Styela clava: one gene and its partner. The protein of the gene in region 1 binds, or shares a complex with, the protein of each later gene. Links are inferred from orthologs where the notes say so. Each region holds a gene or a part of one and is shown on either strand. Other genes may lie near its edges.

Region 1 (9,197 bases):
AATTTTTTTTCTCTCACTCCCCAGTCATGGTCTAGTGATTTTGGCCTATTGCAGGCCTCTGAAAGGACCTGTTGAGAAAGTAAAGGCACGGGCATGTTTAAAAAAATTATTTGAATCTATTTTGAAAGAAATTTTATTTCTCCATCTCCTCAGTCACGCTCCAGTGATTTTACGTTATATCTGGAGAATGGTAGAAGGTAGAGGTGCCATATTTGGGTCATACAAGGTAGTTGAGGTCTAGTTTATGTCAAAAAAAATTCGTCACGGTTGAGTGATCACGGACCTTATAATTGGAAAAATTCGACTCCGGTTAGTGGTGATCAGTTTATTACAGGGTATTTGAACTTCTTAATGGACTAGCGGGGTCGGGGGGCACAGCGCCGGACGAATTTCCGTCATTCGTCCGGCGCAACGACCCGGGTCCTCCAACAAACTTCAAACAAACAAATGCTTCTTAATTTACTAAAAATATTTCCATACATTTCCCCTCGCGGGTAGCGTAGCGACCTTCCCCTGGATGCTATTCCGCCCACGTCAGTGCATATGGCAACGATAGTTGCAACAGAAATCGAAAGCCGGCGGCCAAGTGTATGATATGTGGGTAATATAGGCGACGGCTCTAGTAGTGAGTGTTTTCGGAGAACCGCAAATGGTAGAGACACGCCCGAGGTGTCAAAAGATGGGGGACGGGGGGAAACTAACAAAGAAAATTTTTCGGAACGATCGGGCCAGGGCAAGTGGGCCAAAACTGGCTTTTAGTGGCCCAAAGCTGCTGATTGGTCAATGGGCTGTCAGTCAAGTCACGCAAGAGTGATTTTGGGGTTTAGAAGCCGTTTGGCTGCGTTTCCGGGCCGGGAAACGGTTCGCCCGGGCATTGGGAATTTTTCCAAACATGTTTGGGGGTGGGGGAAGTGCCCCCGCCCCCCCAGTGGTGAGAAAACGTGTGGAAAGCCACGCCCACTTGGGTAATATGGTTTTTGGACGATTAGGAGTCTTTGGAATCGGTTTTGGGGCAAAGTGATGCATATTTATGGAAGGGACTAATTAATAGAATATATTACCACCTCAACTTTGGGGATTCCCCTTCCCCGTAACGGTCCAGTGAGTTCGGAATGTTGCGCTTAAGATTTGAGATATTGAGGAAAAAAAATACATAGGTAGGTTGAGAAAGTTTAGTTTAATACTTTTTTCAAGAAATTTTTTTGCTCCCGTGCCTCTGTCACGGTCTAGTGATTTTGGTCTTTTGCCGGCTTCTGAGAGGTCATATCAAGAATCTAAAGGCATGGGCGTGATCAGAAAAATTATTCCAATCACGTATCAGCAAAATTTTTTTTCTATTAGCCTTCAGTCACGGTCCAGTGATTTTAGGCCATATCTCGAGAACGGTAATAGATAGGGGTCTCGTATTTGGGGTATACGAGGTAGTTGGAGTAAAGTTTATGCCTATAGAATTTCGTCACGGTCGAGTGATCACTGACCTCAAAATTGATAAAAATATACTCCAGTCCGTACCGTTGAAACCCTTTATGTTAGGGGGGGCCGATGGCGTCGGTCGGATCATGCCGCGATCCGTCCGACGCAACAGATTGCGGCTCGAGCGTCGTAGACAAAACCGGCCTGAGCCCAACCAACCATTTGTGCGCCCGCGGCCCCCCTCGTCGTGTGCCGCAGGCAGACGTTTATTCTGGATGCTATTCCGCCCACGTCAGTGCATATGGCAACGATAGTTGCAACAGAAATCGAAAGCCGGCGGCCAAGTGTATGATATGTGGGTAATATAGGCGACGGCTCTAGTAGTGAGTGTTTTCGGAGAACCGCAAATGGTAGAGACACGCCCGAGGTGTCAAAAGATGGGGGACGGGGGGAAACTAACAAAGAAAATTTTTCGGAACGATCGGGCCAGGGCAAGTGGGCCAAAACTGGCTTTTAGTGGCCCAAAGCTGCTGATTGGTCAATGGGCTGTCAGTCAAGTCACGCAAGAGTGATTTTGGGGTTTAGAAGCCGTTTGGCTGCGTTTCCGGGCCGGGAAACAGTTCGCCCGGGCATTGGGAATTTTTCCAAACATGTTTGGGGGTGGGGGAAGTGCCCCCGCCCCCCCAGTGGTGAGAAAACTTGTGGAAAGCCACGCCCACTTGGGTAATATGGTTTTTGGACGATTAGGAGTCTTTGGAATCGGTTTTGGGGCAAAGTGATGCATATTTATGGAAGGGACTAATTAATAGAATATATTACCACCTCAACTTTGGGGATTCCCCTTCCCCGTAACGGTCCAGTGAGTTCGGAATGTTGCGCTTAAGATTTGAGATATTGAGGAAAAAAAATACATAGGTAGGTTGAGAAAGTTTAGTTTAATACTTTTTCCAAGAAATTTTTTTGCTCCCGTGCCTCCGTCACGGTCTAGTGATTTTGGCCTTTTGCCGGCTTCTGAGAGGTCATATCAAGAATCTAAAGGCATGGGCGTGATCAGAAAAATTATTCCAATCACGTATCAGCAAAATTTTTTTTCTATTAGCCTTCAGTCACGGTCCAGTGATTTTAGGCCATATCTCGAGAACGGTAATAGATAGGGGTCTCGTATTTGGGGTATACGAGGTAGTTGGAGTAAAGTTTATGCCTATAAAATTTCGTCATGGTCGAGTGATCACGGACCTTAAAATTGATAAAAATATACTCCAGTCCGTACCGTTGAAACCCTTTATGTTAGGGGGGGCCGATGGCGTCGGTCGGATCATGCCGCGATCCGTCCGACGCAACGGATGGCGGCCCGAGCGTCGTAGACAAAACCGGCCTGAGCCCAACCAACCATTTGTGCGCCCGCGGCCCCCCTCGTCGTGTGCCGCAGGCAGACGTTTATTCTGGATGGTTAGGCAACCCGAGAGCACTGAAAGTGCGTATGCACAGTATAGAATCAAATTTCGTTGCACGAAAGTCAATAGCTAAAGCTAACTACTCTAAGCGACCGTGAATCACTATTATCTGAAGAACCACAGGGCCGATCCGGACGAAACTTTGCATGTAGCGGGGGCTAGTTACCAAAAGAACACAGAAAATTTTTGGGAGCGATCGGGCCAAAGGAAGTGGGCCAAAACGGGATTTTAGTGGCCCGAAGCTGCTGATTGGTCAATCGGCTGTCCGTCAAGTCACGCGAGAGTGAGTTTGGGGTTTAGAGGCCGTTTAGCTCTGTTTCCGGGGTCGGAGAGCGTTTGCCCGAGTATTGGGAATTTTTCCAAGTATATTTGGGGGTGGGGGCAGTGCCACCGCCCCCCCAATGGTGAGAAAACGTGTGGAAAGCCACGCCCACTTAGGTAATATCGTTTTGGGGCTATTAGGAGCACTTGGAATTGGTTTTTGGGCAAAGTGATGCTCAAATCTCAAAGGGACCAATATATAGAATATTTCACCACCTCAACTTTGGGACTTCCCCCTCCCAATCGCCCTCCAGTGGCGTAAGAAGGTTGCGCACCTAAAAACGAAGATATCGAGAAATAAAATAGATAGGTATGTTGGGAAAATTTAGTTTAATGCTTTTTTCAAGAAATTTTTTTTCTCTCACTCCCCAGTCATGGTCTAGTGATTTTGGCTTATTGCAGGCCTCTGAAAGGACCTGTTGAGAAAGTAAAGGCATGGGCATGTTTAGAAAAATTATTTGAATCTATTTTGAAAGAAATTTTATTTCTCCATCTCCTCAGTCACGCTCCAGTGATTTTACGTTATATCTGGAGAATGGTAGAAGGTAGAGGTGCCATATTCGGGTCATACAAGGTAGTTGAGGGGTAGTTTATGGCAAAAAAAATTCGTCACGGTTGAGTGATCACGGACCTTAAAATTAGAAAAATTCCACTCCGGTTAGGGGTGATCAGTTTATTACAGGGTATTTGAACTTCTTAATGGACTAGAGGGGTCGGGGGCACAGCGCCGGACGAATTTCCGCCATTCGTCCGACGCAACGACCCGGGTCCTCCAACAAACTTCAAACAAACATCTGCTTCTTAATTTACTAAAAATATTTCCATACATTTCCCCTCGCGGGTAGCGTAGCGACCTTCCCCTGGATGGTCAGGCAACAGTGTAGCACTTTAGTGCGTATGCACAGTAATGGTCAAAAGACTTTGCGCGTAGGGCAAAAATAATGTGACGAAGTCTCTTGGCTAAGACCCATCGAGTTACCATTTCCCAGAAAACTGGCGGGCCGATCGGAACGAAACTTGGCATGTAGTAGGGTGCAGTTACCAAAATAGCAAATAAAATTTTTCAGAACGATCGGGCCAAAGGAAGTGGGCCAAAACGGGCTTTTGGTGGCCCAAATTTAAGGTTGCGTGACATTAATTATTTCAAGCTGTCAATCAAGTCTCGCAAGAGTGATTTTGGGGTTTAGAAGTCGTTTAGCTGCGTTTCCGGGGCCAGAAAGCGTTTGCCCGAGTATTGGGATTTTTTCCAAGTGCAATTGGGGGTGGGGGCACTGCCACCGCCCCCCCAGTGGTGAGAAAACGTGTGGAAAGCCACGCCCACTTAGATAATATGGTTTTTGGGCTATTAGGAGCACTTGGAATTGGTTTTGGGGCAAAGTGATGCTTAAACCTCAAAGGGACTAATATATAGAATATTTCACCACCTGAATCTTGGGAATTCCCCCTCCCAATCGCCCTCCAGTGGCGTAAGAAGGTTGCGCACCTAAAAATTGAGCTATCGAGAAATAAAATAGATAGATATGTTGGGAAAATTTAGTTTAATGCTTTTTTCAAGAAATTTTTTTTCTCTCACTCCCCAGTCATGGTCTAGTGATTTTGGCTTATTGCGGGCCTCTGAAAGGACCTGTTGAGAAAGTAAAGGCATGGGCATGTTTAGAAAAATTATTTGAATCTATTTTGAAAGAAATTTTATTTCTCCATCACCTCAGTCACGCCCCAGTGATTTCACGTTATATCTCGAGAATGGTAGAAGGTAGAGGCGCCATATTCGGGTCATGCAAGGTAGTTGAGGTCTAGTTTATGTCAAAAAAATTTCGTAACGGTTGAGTGATCACGGACCTTAAAATTGGAAAAATTCGACTCCGGTAAGGGGTGATCAGTTTATTACAGGGTATTTGAACTTCCTAATGGACTAGAGTGGTCGGGGGCACAGCGCCGGACGAATTTCCGTCATTCGTCCGGCGCAACGACCCGGGTCCTCCAACAAACTTCAAACAAACATATGCTTCTAAATTTACTACAAATATTTCCATACATTTCCCCTCGCGGGTAGCGCAGCGACCTTACCCTGGATTCTTTTTGATGTTTTCCTTTTAAGTTCTTCAAACTTCGTTAATACTTTTTCCCATTTATCTTATCCAGTAAAATATCATTTATAACTACGGATACCAATATAAATCTGCTTATTTTCGCATTCTCTAATACATTTCAGTTTTTGATTTTTGTGCTTTGTCAACTTGATAATTGCTTCTTTCCATATAATGCTTCAGAAATGACCATTAGATATTTTTGCCATGCAATGTCTCCTGTATCAGAATTGCATCGGTGTAACGACGGTGGTTGGAGTCCTGTTTTTTACGAAGGGTTTGTTTTCACGTTTTTGAAGAAAAGCACAAGCATGTCACCATGCGATGCTTTTGCCATATTTTCCCATGCTGACCTACTGACTGACTGATAGTGCCTGATTATTGAAGAGTTTTTTGTCAGCAAGTTTGTAATTGATTGATTTATTTTTCTGTCCAGAGTAGCCTACCGTACGTCTGTCTGTACGTACCATACCGACATACTTTCCTGCTGTCAGGTCAGGGTACCGGTATTGCAGTATTGCATAAACAATTTGATTTGTAGTAATTAAAAAGATCTCACACTTGGATTAGAATGAGGAAGTCAATTGAAAAGCGGAAGCTGGATGACGATAGTAATAAAGTAAGTGACAATTCTGTAAAACTGAAGATTTTATTTCCAGATTTTAAAATATTTAAAATTCCACAAACTTTCAAATATTGGTAACGTCATAAGTTATTACTACTGACATAAACAGCATTGGGACCAGCAGTTACTAAATTACCTGACCTAACCTACTCCAGTACTCCTCTATGCACTAATCCTGTAATCACATATGCAGATATGAGACAATATAAATACTGAAATATTTTTTGACGGTCATATTATTATTCTATTTATTCAGATTCTTGACACTAATATAAAGATAGAGGAGTCCTCTGAAGATGAACTGAGTGAAAATGAGTCAGGTAATTAACATTGTGTTTATGAAATTTATTGATCTTGTTAAATTCCCGAGAACATTTTCATCAATTCATTTCTTAAAATTTTGACTCAATCTGTCACTCTTGGTAACAAAATTTTTTCTAGAAAATTTCATTTTCCAATCCTACCTGCTCAAATAATCATGCTTGAAATTTCAAACCCTGGGAGTCGAAAACATTTACTTTATGAAGATTCAAACATGACGCCATTCCAATTAAAGCACGAACAGAAACATCGGACTAAAATTCCAATAATATGTCTATATTTATTTTGCGAGGTTTTGCTCGCTCTCCAGAATTTTCTCTTTCTATTAGTGTTTATTAATGTATGAATTTTTCAAGATTAACTATCTATCTTATCCGCACTGCTGAATGGATTCATTTTGTCAATATTTACGCTATTGTACGCCAACTCAATTTTTTGGGCTATGCTTTATTCCATTCATTATTTTCCCAGATTTTGATTTATCAAGTGAAGATTCTGGTGTTGATGAAGATTATTTAAAATTGAGTGATGAAAGAAATCAGGATCAAGAGAAAACAGAATCTTCATCAATCATAAAGCGAGTAACACCATCCTCTGACGTTACAGATGCCAATAATGATGATAATGACACATCTGATGAAGAGGTAACATTGTATATAATATAAGAATATCATAGATCTGTTGAATGTGCACTTCAACAAAGTCTGTTGTTGCGAATATCCAACAACAAATAATCTTTGAGTGAATTTGTCTAAAAAAACGACATCAAAAGAAAAATATCATTCAGAAAGGTCTATTGCTAAAATTATTATTATTATTAAAATTATAAAATGAATTTTTTATCACATTTATTTGAAACATTTAATTTAATTTTACATTTATTTGAAACAGAACCATAAAAAAATATAGTCTATAATTAGTTTTACCCAGCTTGTAATAAATTAGATAGGCAATGTCGAACGAGAACGATTCCACACATGTCATTAGATATCAGTTGCTGCTAGTACAAGTATGAAAGACATGAGTAAGCGTCATATGGAAAAGAAAATTTCTCAGAGATAGCCAACAGTTTTCAAATTACTGCCTATTGCTAAATGTGAATATCTCAATTCGAATCACCTGGCGTAGCACCATTTTTCCTCCCATGTTTCCGATGGTGTTTATGTAATATGTATATTTTCTTCATTTACAGGATATTAGGAACACAGTAGGAAATATACCTATGAAATGGTACGAGAATTTCCCACATATCGGTTATGACTTGGATGGGAAACAAATATCTAAACCCATCAGAAATATGGATGAACTGGATAAATTTTTAGACAAAATGGACAATCCTGATTATTGGTAAGATATTGGAATCAAGGATTTATTTTTTTATTTAAGGAATTTTAATAATTTATTGTCTGGTGTTTCTATATTACAGCTGTACCTTGTGTTTTCTACAATTCTTGGTTAAATAAGAGTCTCTAAACTCTTTACTTTAATGATCTGGGCTTTGAAAATATAATATGGGTAATATCTGAACCACCTACTGCTGTCTATAGTATTGGTGCTAATTCTATTTATGATTTCATTTTCTCAGGAAAACTGTTTATGATGAAAACACAGCTCGTGATCATAAATTGACTGAAGATGAATTGCAACTTGTGTCAAGACTTAAGACTGGAAAATTTTATAATTCAACAATCGATCCCTATGAGGTAACATATCAATTTGTTTTAAAAATAAGCGTCAAACTTGAAGACTTAATAAGGGAATAGATACATAAATTATTTTCCCCTAGATTTTGTGAGACATACCTTTAGTGGATTTTGTTGGTAAAGCAGGTATAGACTCAGGTGTACTCCTGTATTTTGTGTACCAGGTCAGGGTTGGGCCATAATCTTATTCCGATTTTTCTCATTTTAGTTCTATTACGAGTTCGTGGACTGTCTGTGTTAGCCAAGTGAATATACCCCCTGCCCATAGGTTTCAGTCCCTTTATACAACTTGATGTAAAGTAAGCGAACAAAATTAGTCACCTCCATTTTGGTACACACACTTCTGGAGCGTCGTTATAGGTATGAAATAAAAAAAGAGTATGGAAGCTCGGGAATAGGAGATATGTATCTCAGTATAATTAGCCTCCCTGGCTTGTTTCTATTGAATGAAGGAAGTTTTTGCTTTTTATTTCAAAGATCTGGATTATAAGGTTTTGTCTTTTGCTATTTAGCCTTATGTCGATTTCTTCACACATGAAAAAATGATTCATCCTATCAACAATGCACCAGCACACAAGAGAAGTTTTACACCATCACATCATGAAAAACTTAAGGTCAGTAGTAAGAATTTTGAGTTGGCGAAATGAAACAGTTTGCTATTTGAATTGTGACCAACAGGTATATGTTTGATGGCTAGAACTGTATTTCAACAAAGTGTTTTTGTTTTAAAATCATTAAATATTCATCTTTCAAAATGATCAAATGGGAATGGGTTAGGCTTTTCAGTTTCCATTCAAATTTTGACCTTGCTCACCAGTATTGGAAGTTCAAAATTTCGAACGAATATTTCCCGAATTCTCCGGGAATATTGAAACACAAATCTGGCCTCGACTCTGATATTAATGTAAACACGTAAAACTACAGATTTAACAGTTTTTGTTGAATACATTTCTAGGTTGGGAAACTTGTGCATGCCATCAAGATGGGTTGGTTAAAACCTAGAAAAGAGAAAAAAGAAGATGAACAACCTGTATTTTTTGATTTGTGGGCAGATAGCAAAGATGAAAACTTGGTGAGCATAAAGAAAATATGAAATTTTTGCTCAATTATCGGTTTCAAATATTTTGAAAAAATTACTATGTAGGCCACTCTGTAAATATTCTAGTCTGCATAGATCGTTTGCCTGTTTACTAATTAAATCCATAAACATGAAACATCCAACTTCTTGGCTATTCCTAAAACTGGTAACTCGTAACGGTATCAGAAGGCATGG
Region 2 (9,795 bases), on another chromosome or scaffold:
TGAGCCAGAGTTGCCTAAGAAAAATGTAAATGATGAAGAGAAAGCGAAAACTGCAGTCGAGCAAGAGACGACCAAAAATGTCGTACATAAGCCAGTGCCCACTGTTGTATCTGAAAGGGAAAACTACACTAAACCGAATCGACTAGAAGAATTGCCAAATATGGTTCAGTCTCTAGCAGATGCCGAAGTTAAAACAGTCAATATGGCAGAAATTACACCTTCACCAACCACAGAAAATAAACCACTACCAAACAATCCTAATGATGTAGCTCCATCTCTTGTCAGTGAGTTACCAGTCGCCAGACATACTAACAAACAACAAAGCGAAATCAAGAGTTCACCAACAAAGCCGAAACCCAGAGCAAGAACTTTGCATTCTAATGAGGAAAAACCAATTGCTCCAGTTCCAGTTGCACGGCCTCGTTCTAAAGATGTTAGCAATGACTCAAATCAAGTCGAAGATAATTCTAAAGCATCCTATAGGAAATCGTTGAATCCATTTGAATTGGAATCTGGGTCAGATTCTGACACTACTCTATCTTCTACATCCTCTGAAGAAGATGGCAATCCGTTTGAAATTACCCCCAAAGTACAGGAGAGAAAGGAAGATGCATCTAAAAACGAGAGAACAGAAGATAAACTTACTGAGATCATCAATGATGAGAATAGTGCAGATGAAGGCGGCAATCCTTTTGGTGATCCACCAGAAATTGATCAGCCTGAAGAAGTTTCCAATAAAGAGTCGGATAATGAAGGAAATCCATTTGGAGATGCAGATGAAGAAGAGCCTAAGAATAAAGCTGTTGATAGAGTCAACCCTTTTAATACTGAAGTTTATAAGAATTCTGCAAAACTTGATGACAAGATAGTAGTAAAGAAGAAACGGCCAGCTCCAGCACCACCAAAATCAACTTCAGCTCTTCTATCAACACAATCACCACACAAAAAAACAGCTGCCCCATCTAGGCCACCAGGATGGAAGGATACATCAAGTCAGAAAATGGTTGAATTGAATAAGGCTAATGAAAAAGATCCACGCTATACTAAAAATAGTACCAAGCCACAGTCGTCTTCAAAAGCTAGAGCCATGCACAAAAGCCCCAAGGCCCGTTCAGCACCTGGGTATGGATATCCACTTGTTAAGCGAAAAGTAGAAATAAAAATGTCGGAACAAGAGATTGCTAACGAATTGAAGTTACTCGATGTTCAATTAACTGATTATGAAACAAAGGGTGTAAAATTAGAAGAAATGTTGCGGTTTGCAATGGATAGTGAATGTGAGTGGACATCAGAAGAAGATGAGTTGCTGCAGGAGTGGTTTCAACTGGTTAATAAGAAAAATCAATTGCTCAGGCAAGAGTCTGACCTTGTGTTTCAGATGCAACAACAAAAACATGAACAGGAGCATGCAGATATTGAATTTCAATTGCGGAAGCTTTTTAACAAACCGGAGTCTACTAAAACTGATCAAGATAAAATCGATGAAGAAAATCTGCTGCAAAAACTTCTTGAGGTTGTTGAACGGAGGAATGTAATTGTTAATTCCATTGAAGAAGAACGCGTGAAAGAGGCAGAGGAAGATTCAGCGTATGAAAAAATGAAAAGGTTACAACAGAATCCAAGCAAAAAGAAAAAGAAGAATAAAGTCAAGAAGATGTTCAGCAAGAAAGGCAAAACAGACAAAGAAAATACTGCTAAGACAAAGTGAACGCAATAAAAACTATGTTACTGATTTTATCATAAGGAATGATTGTTTTCTACCTAAAACACATCCTCCGTTACATAGATATATAAATATACATGACTCATACATGATTCACTAATATTTTTATGAGCTAAATGAAATTAAGTATCCCTATAAATCATATCATTGACTGGCAACTCACCCCTACGACTTCTAAACATTGTATATATAAATACTTTCTATATTTGGAATTGTGAAGATTTAAGATACAAATATTATCTTTAATGACATTGACTCATAAAACAAATTTGTTTGCTAGAGCAATCATAGAAATGGATAATTTTGTATGTCCAATACAATCACTGTCTGTTAAATTCGGCCAAAAATGAGGATAAATAGTACTAACCATACGCATTTCGTATGTGTTGCTTATATACATAAATTTTTATTTAGTATTGCACATTTCATCATTATTTAGAACACCAATAATTGACATTTTCATGCATTTATAAAAGGGACATATATGTATTATATGTACTATCATTGTCATACCTACACCAATGGCTATAGTCCGAATACCCTTATTAGCATTGCACCAGATTCATGACAGTAATTATTTTCCGTGCAATCTGTCTTTTGGTGTTGAAATATTGCACAGCAATCAGTTTTAGTTGACAATCCTTAAGATACCATAATTTTAATGCTTCGATTTTTAGGATAAGCCGTTAATTGGTTGAATTTTTCAGATAATTAGGAGTTATAACATTTGATTTTATTGAGCTGAACTTTTTGATGCCATCGCTTTTGTAAATAAGTCCTGAGACTGCAGTTGAATATTACACTGCAAATAGAATTAGCATTTGAAAGTTCAAACCATACAATACAGTTGCCAAACCTGTGGCTGGTCCACAGAATCTGCACAAGTGTTTATTAACAGTGTTTCAATGCCTGACAGCCATTTTTTTAAATTTATGTTTTAGCAGATCAGAGCTCACTATTCTTATTTCTATATTGCTGACTCGCTTGCCCTATTACTGCTTGATTGTATGCATTTCACCAATTTTCTCTATATCATTACATATGCTAAGCAAAGTTTTAACTATGTATATCTACATTATATATCATAACAAAAATCTTTTGTTGCATATTATGGACATTTACAATTAGGTAGCAAGCAGAAAGCCCATGAAAGATGTATTATGAGGACAATAAGACTTTGTGTTTGCTTTTCATAATTTGTCGGGTTTAGCTGAAGGTTGGAATCTTTGTAACTTGGCTCTAATCTCAGATGATGATGTGAATTGAGCCAAAAATACTTGTGACTTCAACATGATGGAAGGCTTTGAAGGAAACTTAGCCTTTTTTATCGATTCAATCCACCTTTCGTGAATTACAGTCCTAAGCCAAAAATTCACTTATTTCAGACTCGTTTGTAAATATTTATTAAATAAAAAAAATCAATACAGAATGGTAACATAGGCAAGTTATGCACACATTACCTTTGACGATTTGGCCATACACATAGTCTTGATTTATAAAAATGTTTTTGACCAATGATTTAAGTTACATTCAAGTTTGCCAGTGAACTATATTTTTTGTTCGTCAAAATCAGGCCTGCATAACTCAAATAAAAGAAAGGGCTGCAACAGACGAAACAATTGTTTGCAGGACGCAAGTTATCATTATCACCATATAACTTGTATCGTGTCATATTGTTCGTAATGTGTAAACAGTGTAACACATGATCAATTCGACACAACCATCTTTTGTTGGGATGTTGTATCTTTTTTTTCAGTCATTGTTGTTATGTTGAAAAATGCTGGAACCGAACATCTCTATTGCATACGCTGTCATACATTTGTCCCTTAAAGCGCACGAGCTAGTATGTTGTAACAAAGAATCGTAGTGCCAAAATCGACGAAAGTGGCCAACTTGGATGTCAATTGAGCATTTAGAATTAAATGAATTTATATAGAATTGACTTATAATTGGTCTTTGGCCCCACCCTCTTACATATTTTATATGCATAAGTTATTTAAATCACCTCAAGGCCCACACGTCCTGTAGGTCTGGTCTGAATGCTCAATCATATTTTTGCTGAGTGCTTGTGGAATTGAAGCATTTACTCGGAATGAAAAGAGCTTTATGAATGTTTTCGAGTAGACCAGCACACAAAATCAAATTCATCATTTTAGATTGAACAGTCTCAATAAGGTTTCACATCAGTGGGTATGGTTATTGATAGTGAGAAGTGTGGTTCTAGTACAATGTGTAAAAGCCAAGATTCTAAAAATCTTCCCATTCATTTGTAACGACAGTAGCTTGTGTTCAACAAAGTGAAACAGGAAAACATTTGGGGTAAAGGTTCATTTGAGTGCATTTTCTTCTTGGTTAAAAAAATTATATCTACATTGAGATATATCATCTAATGATTGTTGTCTACTCTCCTCATTAAACTAAGAAAGCATCGTCATCCTCGAGTGTGTCATCCACATTTGACTCATTCTTGTCAGATTTTGATGACATATCAAAAAAGTCTTCTGGTGGATTATCCCATGGGTTGAGGTCTTCAAGGTTTCCCAAAGCTTTAACAGTATCTTCATTCATAGACATTAAATTTAGACCATCCATTGATAATCTTTTCATGATCTCTTCGTCCGAAGGCTTCTCATTCATCAAGTCATCATATTTATGACCCAGAGTCCATAACTTTTCGAGGTTATACTTTTCACGAGTGTCTTCAAGCATTATATGAATCACCATATTTCCCATGTCTATGCACTGCCAATCATCACTAATTCTTTTTCCTTCAATAAGTGTGAAAGGTTGCATACCCCTTCGTTTCGACTTATACAACTTGTTTGCCATTTCAGCAATGCTTGCAACATGCCTTGCCGACGTTGCAGTGCATATAATAAAGTGGTCAACATAGCACATTTTTTTGGGAACTTCAATTACAACGATGTCCAATGAGCCTTCCTCGTTTAAAAACTGAATGACCTCATCTAGATCGAGTACCCCCCGTTTTTTTGATAGAAAGTCTGATTTATCTTGTCGTCTTATAGTATCCCACGAGACTGTTGAACCAGATGTTGGTGGACTTTCCAAGTTTTCACTAGTCTCATGAGAACGAGAATAATAGGCAGTAGAATTACATTGATTGTAAGTGGGGCTGCATAGTTCACATGAATGACAAATGAAGCGTCCACTCCTGAGGGGCTGAAAGCGCTTCAAAATATTCCGAATAAACATCGTCGACATAATAGCAAATTAGTCTATGCTAAACCCCTCAATTGTGTCAACAATGAGCCGAAGATTATTCAATAAGGAATTCACAGATACTCGTAAAAGTCGCGCCTCAGCTGCGGTCCAGTATACGCAGAGTAAATTATTGTTTACTTCAATCACTTTATCCACCAATTGCCTTCGAGGCTCAACGTCTACAATCAGAGTATTCTTTGCAATCAACGCATGTTTAGCGTTTTTCATGGGAACTTTGATTTCGAACCTCAACACCGACCTCCCATGCACAATAGAAGCCATTTGCTACACAACAAATAACTTGAGGGAAAATGTGTTCACCAGTTCAAGTCGGCCCACAAGTCCCGCTAGAGAGTCCCACAACTGTCAAGAAATAAAAACTAATGAGATCGAATAAAATATGGAATGACAATTTAAATTTTATGAAAAGTACGAATAACACTAGAAATCAATAAACGCTTCTTCTTTTTAATATTCATTGACGACAAACCTTATTTCACGCTTCAGATCACAAACCACGTGCTGAATAAGAGGGGAAACACCGATGTATGACTCCTCTATGATAGATCCACGTTTTGGTAGAGATTTGGAATAACGTCGCTGTGATCTATTGCTACCAAACATCTTATCTGACATGGGAAGAATAAAAAAGAAGGTATTTATGTATAATTTATATAATTATTACATAATTTTTTGACTTATCTTTTTACTTTTATATACCAAGCACTCATATTCACTGTGAAACTATGTTATCTGTTTAGCATGAAGCCGGAGCTGCAACGCAATACATAACTCGAAAGCATGCTTGCAAGAGACTTCAGCTCAGTTTGGCCAACTTTCGACGAATTTGTATTCTAAAGGGCATTTATCCTCATGAACCAGCACATAAAAAGAAGGTGAATTTTTGTTTTGTCAAGCATCTAAAGAATTTCAATAGTTGATTATAATTTATTGACGCCAGATTATCTGAATATGGTATTTTTTGCAGTTATTGATAAATGTTTTTGTCACAATGATACAATCGTTGATATATGAGCTTTAGTAATATAAGGTCACATTCTTGTTTTATACTATTCAATTATAATCAACTGACTCATCTATAGAGGAGGGACAGATAGAAATAACTGACTGAAACGGCGGGCCACACCTTTTTTTAACATAGACTATCTAGTAGTTGCGTGGGCACAAAAATTTTGGTTATTGGATCTTGTGACATGCGTCGAGACGACATGCGACAAACCAGCTGCTAAGACACTGATATCTTCGCATCGCAGAGGGATTGAAAATTCTCGCACATACCGAATTAAATTAAACACATCATTCAAAATTGGCACTTCTCCAATTTTTACTTGAGGGCCGCAGGTTGCACACCCCTGCGGTAAAGTAAAATTATTGGTGTTTGTTCCTGCTCTAGAAAGTTTATGTTAAATGAAAGTTGCTGTCCTGGTTCCACCCAGTTATTTGTATCTGATGCTTTTGTATTGAAGTTTACACTCACTTGACATATACCCTTCAATGATGATATAGGTTGTTTGCCAGTTCTGCTTCTGATATTTGTGATGTGACTGCAGCCAATTTATTCTGAGAATTTTTTGTTAGCTATTTATATGTGGTCAATAGTTGAGTTAGAAAATTGAAATGAAATGAAGGTAAATTTGTATCATACAGGATTTCTGATGGGTTGTAAATTTGTATATTATTTTTATACTAATTCTATTTTAAGGTGAATAAAGGAAGCACTGCAAATCGTACATTCTACTTCTTGAAAGACATTCAATTTCTGGCACACGAACCTGTTATAAGCAAATTTCGTGAACATAAAGTAAGTCTTGGTTAACCTTTTTTATATCAGATTTATTTTAAAATTACTAGCGCTGTAAGTGTTTGGTCTCTTTTTAGACTTATATAAAAAAGTTGAAAAAAGCAACGGCAAAGGATGAAAAATCGAGAGCAGCATACTTGAGAGAAAATAAACCAACTTACAAGATTGATCACATTGTGAGGGAAAGGTAACAATATTTCCATAAGCATTACTGAAATACTCGTCATTTTAATTTTGGCTTTTATTTTTGTTGGAATTAGCATCTCACTCACTTTTTATAGAGTGTTATCAAATCTTTGCTACTTAAGAAACTAGTTTGTATTTCCTGAGCCCTCATAAGTCAGTCAATTTTATTACACCTTTGGTGAGGTTTTGGACCAGAGATGAACTGCTACGTCAAAATAGTTCTAACACTCTAGGTCAGCGGTTCCTAACCTTTTCAACTTGGCAGACTGATGACATCTTATGAAATGACCTCGCGGACCGGCAACAAATATTGAAATGACTGACACAAAGCATGGAACTAAAATAGGAAAAACATGAACGAGGTCTCATTTTAATGAGTGTCCTTTTTTCTTGCATTTGCTGTTTTATTGTTCTTGACTGAGTGAAACTCACGGGGCTAATACCACACTTACCGAAAAATTCGCCTAATAATGCAATGCAACTGCATGTTTTTTATGACCAAGCGATTGCACTGAGAGAGAAAAGTGAAATTTGCTCGTTCTGGTCTGCAGACCAGCAGTTTGGAACCACTGCATTAGAACATGGTGCCCACACAGTCTTGAGTTATACAATATACCGGTAGGTAGGTTAGATTAACTTGTCTCCTATGACAGTGCTGGTGACAGGGGTGTATTGATATTTTTCAGATATCCAACATTTACAGGAGCTATCCAAGATTTGGACGATGCTCTGTGCATGTGTTTCTTGTTTTCTAATCTACCAAAATCACACAGTATTCATTCTGAAACAGTTCAGCTTTGTAGAAGGCTTACAGGTAATTTTGTTTTTGAACACAGCCCGATTAAAAGGCTTTGCAAAATGAGCTTATTTTGATTACATGGATTTTAAGTAAAATATTTCTTTCATGAATCTTGTTTGAACTAGGGGTGTTTGATGTTCAATATGTAATTTATGCTTGACAAACATTATGGATAGGCTTATAGAATTAGTATATTTTCTCATGCCATCCTTTATTTTTCTACTTTTTTGTATATATTAATTAGATAATACTCATGTTTAGATTTATTAATATTTTTTCTTATAGTGGAATTCATGCATTATGTGATTGAAGCAAAAGCTCTGAGAAAAGTCTTTATTTCAATCAAAGGAATATATTTTCAATCTGAGATAATGGGACAGTCAGTGACATGGATTACACCACATAATTTTTCACATCATGTAAGTTAATATGACCACTACAACATAACATCATCCCGAATGCAGTTTTGCAGATTCCTGACTCAAAATTATGATACAAGGGTTTTAAATCACAAAATTAAACTCGAATATAAAATTTTACCTAAAATAGTACTAGTATTAATATTAGAAATTGAATTAATAAAAACAATCTGAAAAGGATAGATTTTTTATCCTGGAGTAAAAAATAATTAGATGGTTAGGAGCTGGAACCACTGAAATTTTATGAAGCTCTGGCTCTAGCTTCATTTATTATGGTAAGCGCTGCTACAAAAGGTAATTTACTTTATCCAATACAAGATCCATCTGGCTGGAACTGTTGGGATTTGTGTACAGCTTCTATCTCATTTTTATGTTCGTTTAAAATAATATTTCAGCACCCAGAAGATGTTGATTTCAAAGTGATGTCGACGTTCACAGAATTTTTTCGAAATATGCTTGGATTTGTTCTTTTCAAATTATATAATGACATCAATTTACATTATCCTCCTCGGATATCGATAACAAGCACAGCAGAGTCTGAAAAAGATGACGAAAAGAGAGATGATGGAGATCTAAAAGACCTGCCAAAGTTTTGCATGGATAATGAAGTTCATTCAGAGGTTTGCCACCAACTATATTTATACTGAGGATGAATAAGGCCCAGCCGGAGCAAATCTATGTATTTTACCAACATTTAGAATTACTATACAGAAAAAATTCACTAAGGCGTGATATGGAAAAAGACACTAGCTTGTAGAAAACATGAAAATTATCAAGGCGTGAAATAATTGAAGTTTTTCTGCGTAGTAATTTGAAACTTCTGCAAATTAAATCAGTTCAGCAACACCGGTTATGCTTTATTTATCCTTGAGGTTTGTTAATGTCATTCTTAAACATTTTTGTCACATTTAGAATTATTATGCTACATGTTGCCATCGAGTGGAATTATTGGGGCTTACAACGTTTCTCTCTTCAACAACGTGATAAAATTTTGTAGTTTTGACATGCAATGAAATGAGGGACTTTAGTCAAATTTTTGATGAGACAGACCTTCCTCATGAGAGTTCCTCATTGAAAGGCTGCTGTTATCTGTGGTGTAAATTGTTCAACTCCAATACGCCAACAAATATTTTCCATTAGCAATTGATATTGGTATTTGCTATTGGCAATAATTCATTTTATTTTGTGAATATACTTGAACAAGATTATTTCTTTTACAATTAAATTCAAAATATTTATTTTATTATTATTATACCAATTACATCAAGTTTATTTTTACAGAGAGTTACGAGTCTTAACACACCGTTAGCAAGGACAGAGATAGATGATCAATCTACTGGGATCCAGGATGAGGAAGTTGCTTTACTTGCTGGAAATACGGAATCAATTGCAAAGCAAAAAGAAGAAGATGAGGCTTTGAAAAAATTTCAGAATCTTTTTTCGAATTGTAAATTTTTTCTTGGAAGAGAAGTCCCCAAAGAAACGCTGGTCTTTGTTATCAGGTACTATAATGTAGATGTTGGACGATGCTTATATATCTATAGCAGCATAATTCAATTAGTCTGAAAGTTTTGAGAATATAGGTTTATATTATATCATAGTGATGTCCACATTCAATTAGTTT

What was found.
Region 2: ribosome biogenesis protein bop1-like (region 1) and pescadillo homolog share a complex: the UniProt entries of both Homo sapiens proteins name them as parts of the peBoW complex. The link is inferred for Styela clava from reciprocal best matches to the Homo sapiens genes BOP1 and PES1.

The regions. Positions count from the first base shown.
Region 1 is NC_135260.1:8,270,179-8,279,375, reverse strand, and holds the start of ribosome biogenesis protein bop1-like, read left to right. Parts: upstream 1-5,589; 5' UTR 5,590-5,846; coding exon 5,847-5,894; intron 5,895-6,156; coding exon 6,157-6,220; intron 6,221-6,692; coding exon 6,693-6,865; intron 6,866-7,413; coding exon 7,414-7,568; intron 7,569-7,806; coding exon 7,807-7,924; intron 7,925-8,436; coding exon 8,437-8,538; intron 8,539-8,879; coding exon 8,880-8,996; intron 8,997-9,197. UniProt on the Homo sapiens protein: Component of the PeBoW complex, which is required for maturation of 28S and 5.8S ribosomal RNAs and formation of the 60S ribosome.
Region 2 is NC_135252.1:3,712,174-3,721,968, reverse strand, and holds the start of pescadillo homolog, read left to right. Parts: upstream 1-5,440; 5' UTR 5,441-5,579; coding exon 5,580-5,600; intron 5,601-5,706; coding exon 5,707-5,841; intron 5,842-6,668; coding exon 6,669-6,767; intron 6,768-6,844; coding exon 6,845-6,954; intron 6,955-7,639; coding exon 7,640-7,767; intron 7,768-8,037; coding exon 8,038-8,171; intron 8,172-8,566; coding exon 8,567-8,791; intron 8,792-9,452; coding exon 9,453-9,673; intron 9,674-9,795. Other genes in the region: MICAL-like protein 1, read left to right, coding at 1-1,708; uncharacterized protein K12H4.2-like, read right to left, coding at 4,136-4,945. UniProt on the Homo sapiens protein: Component of the PeBoW complex, which is required for maturation of 28S and 5.8S ribosomal RNAs and formation of the 60S ribosome.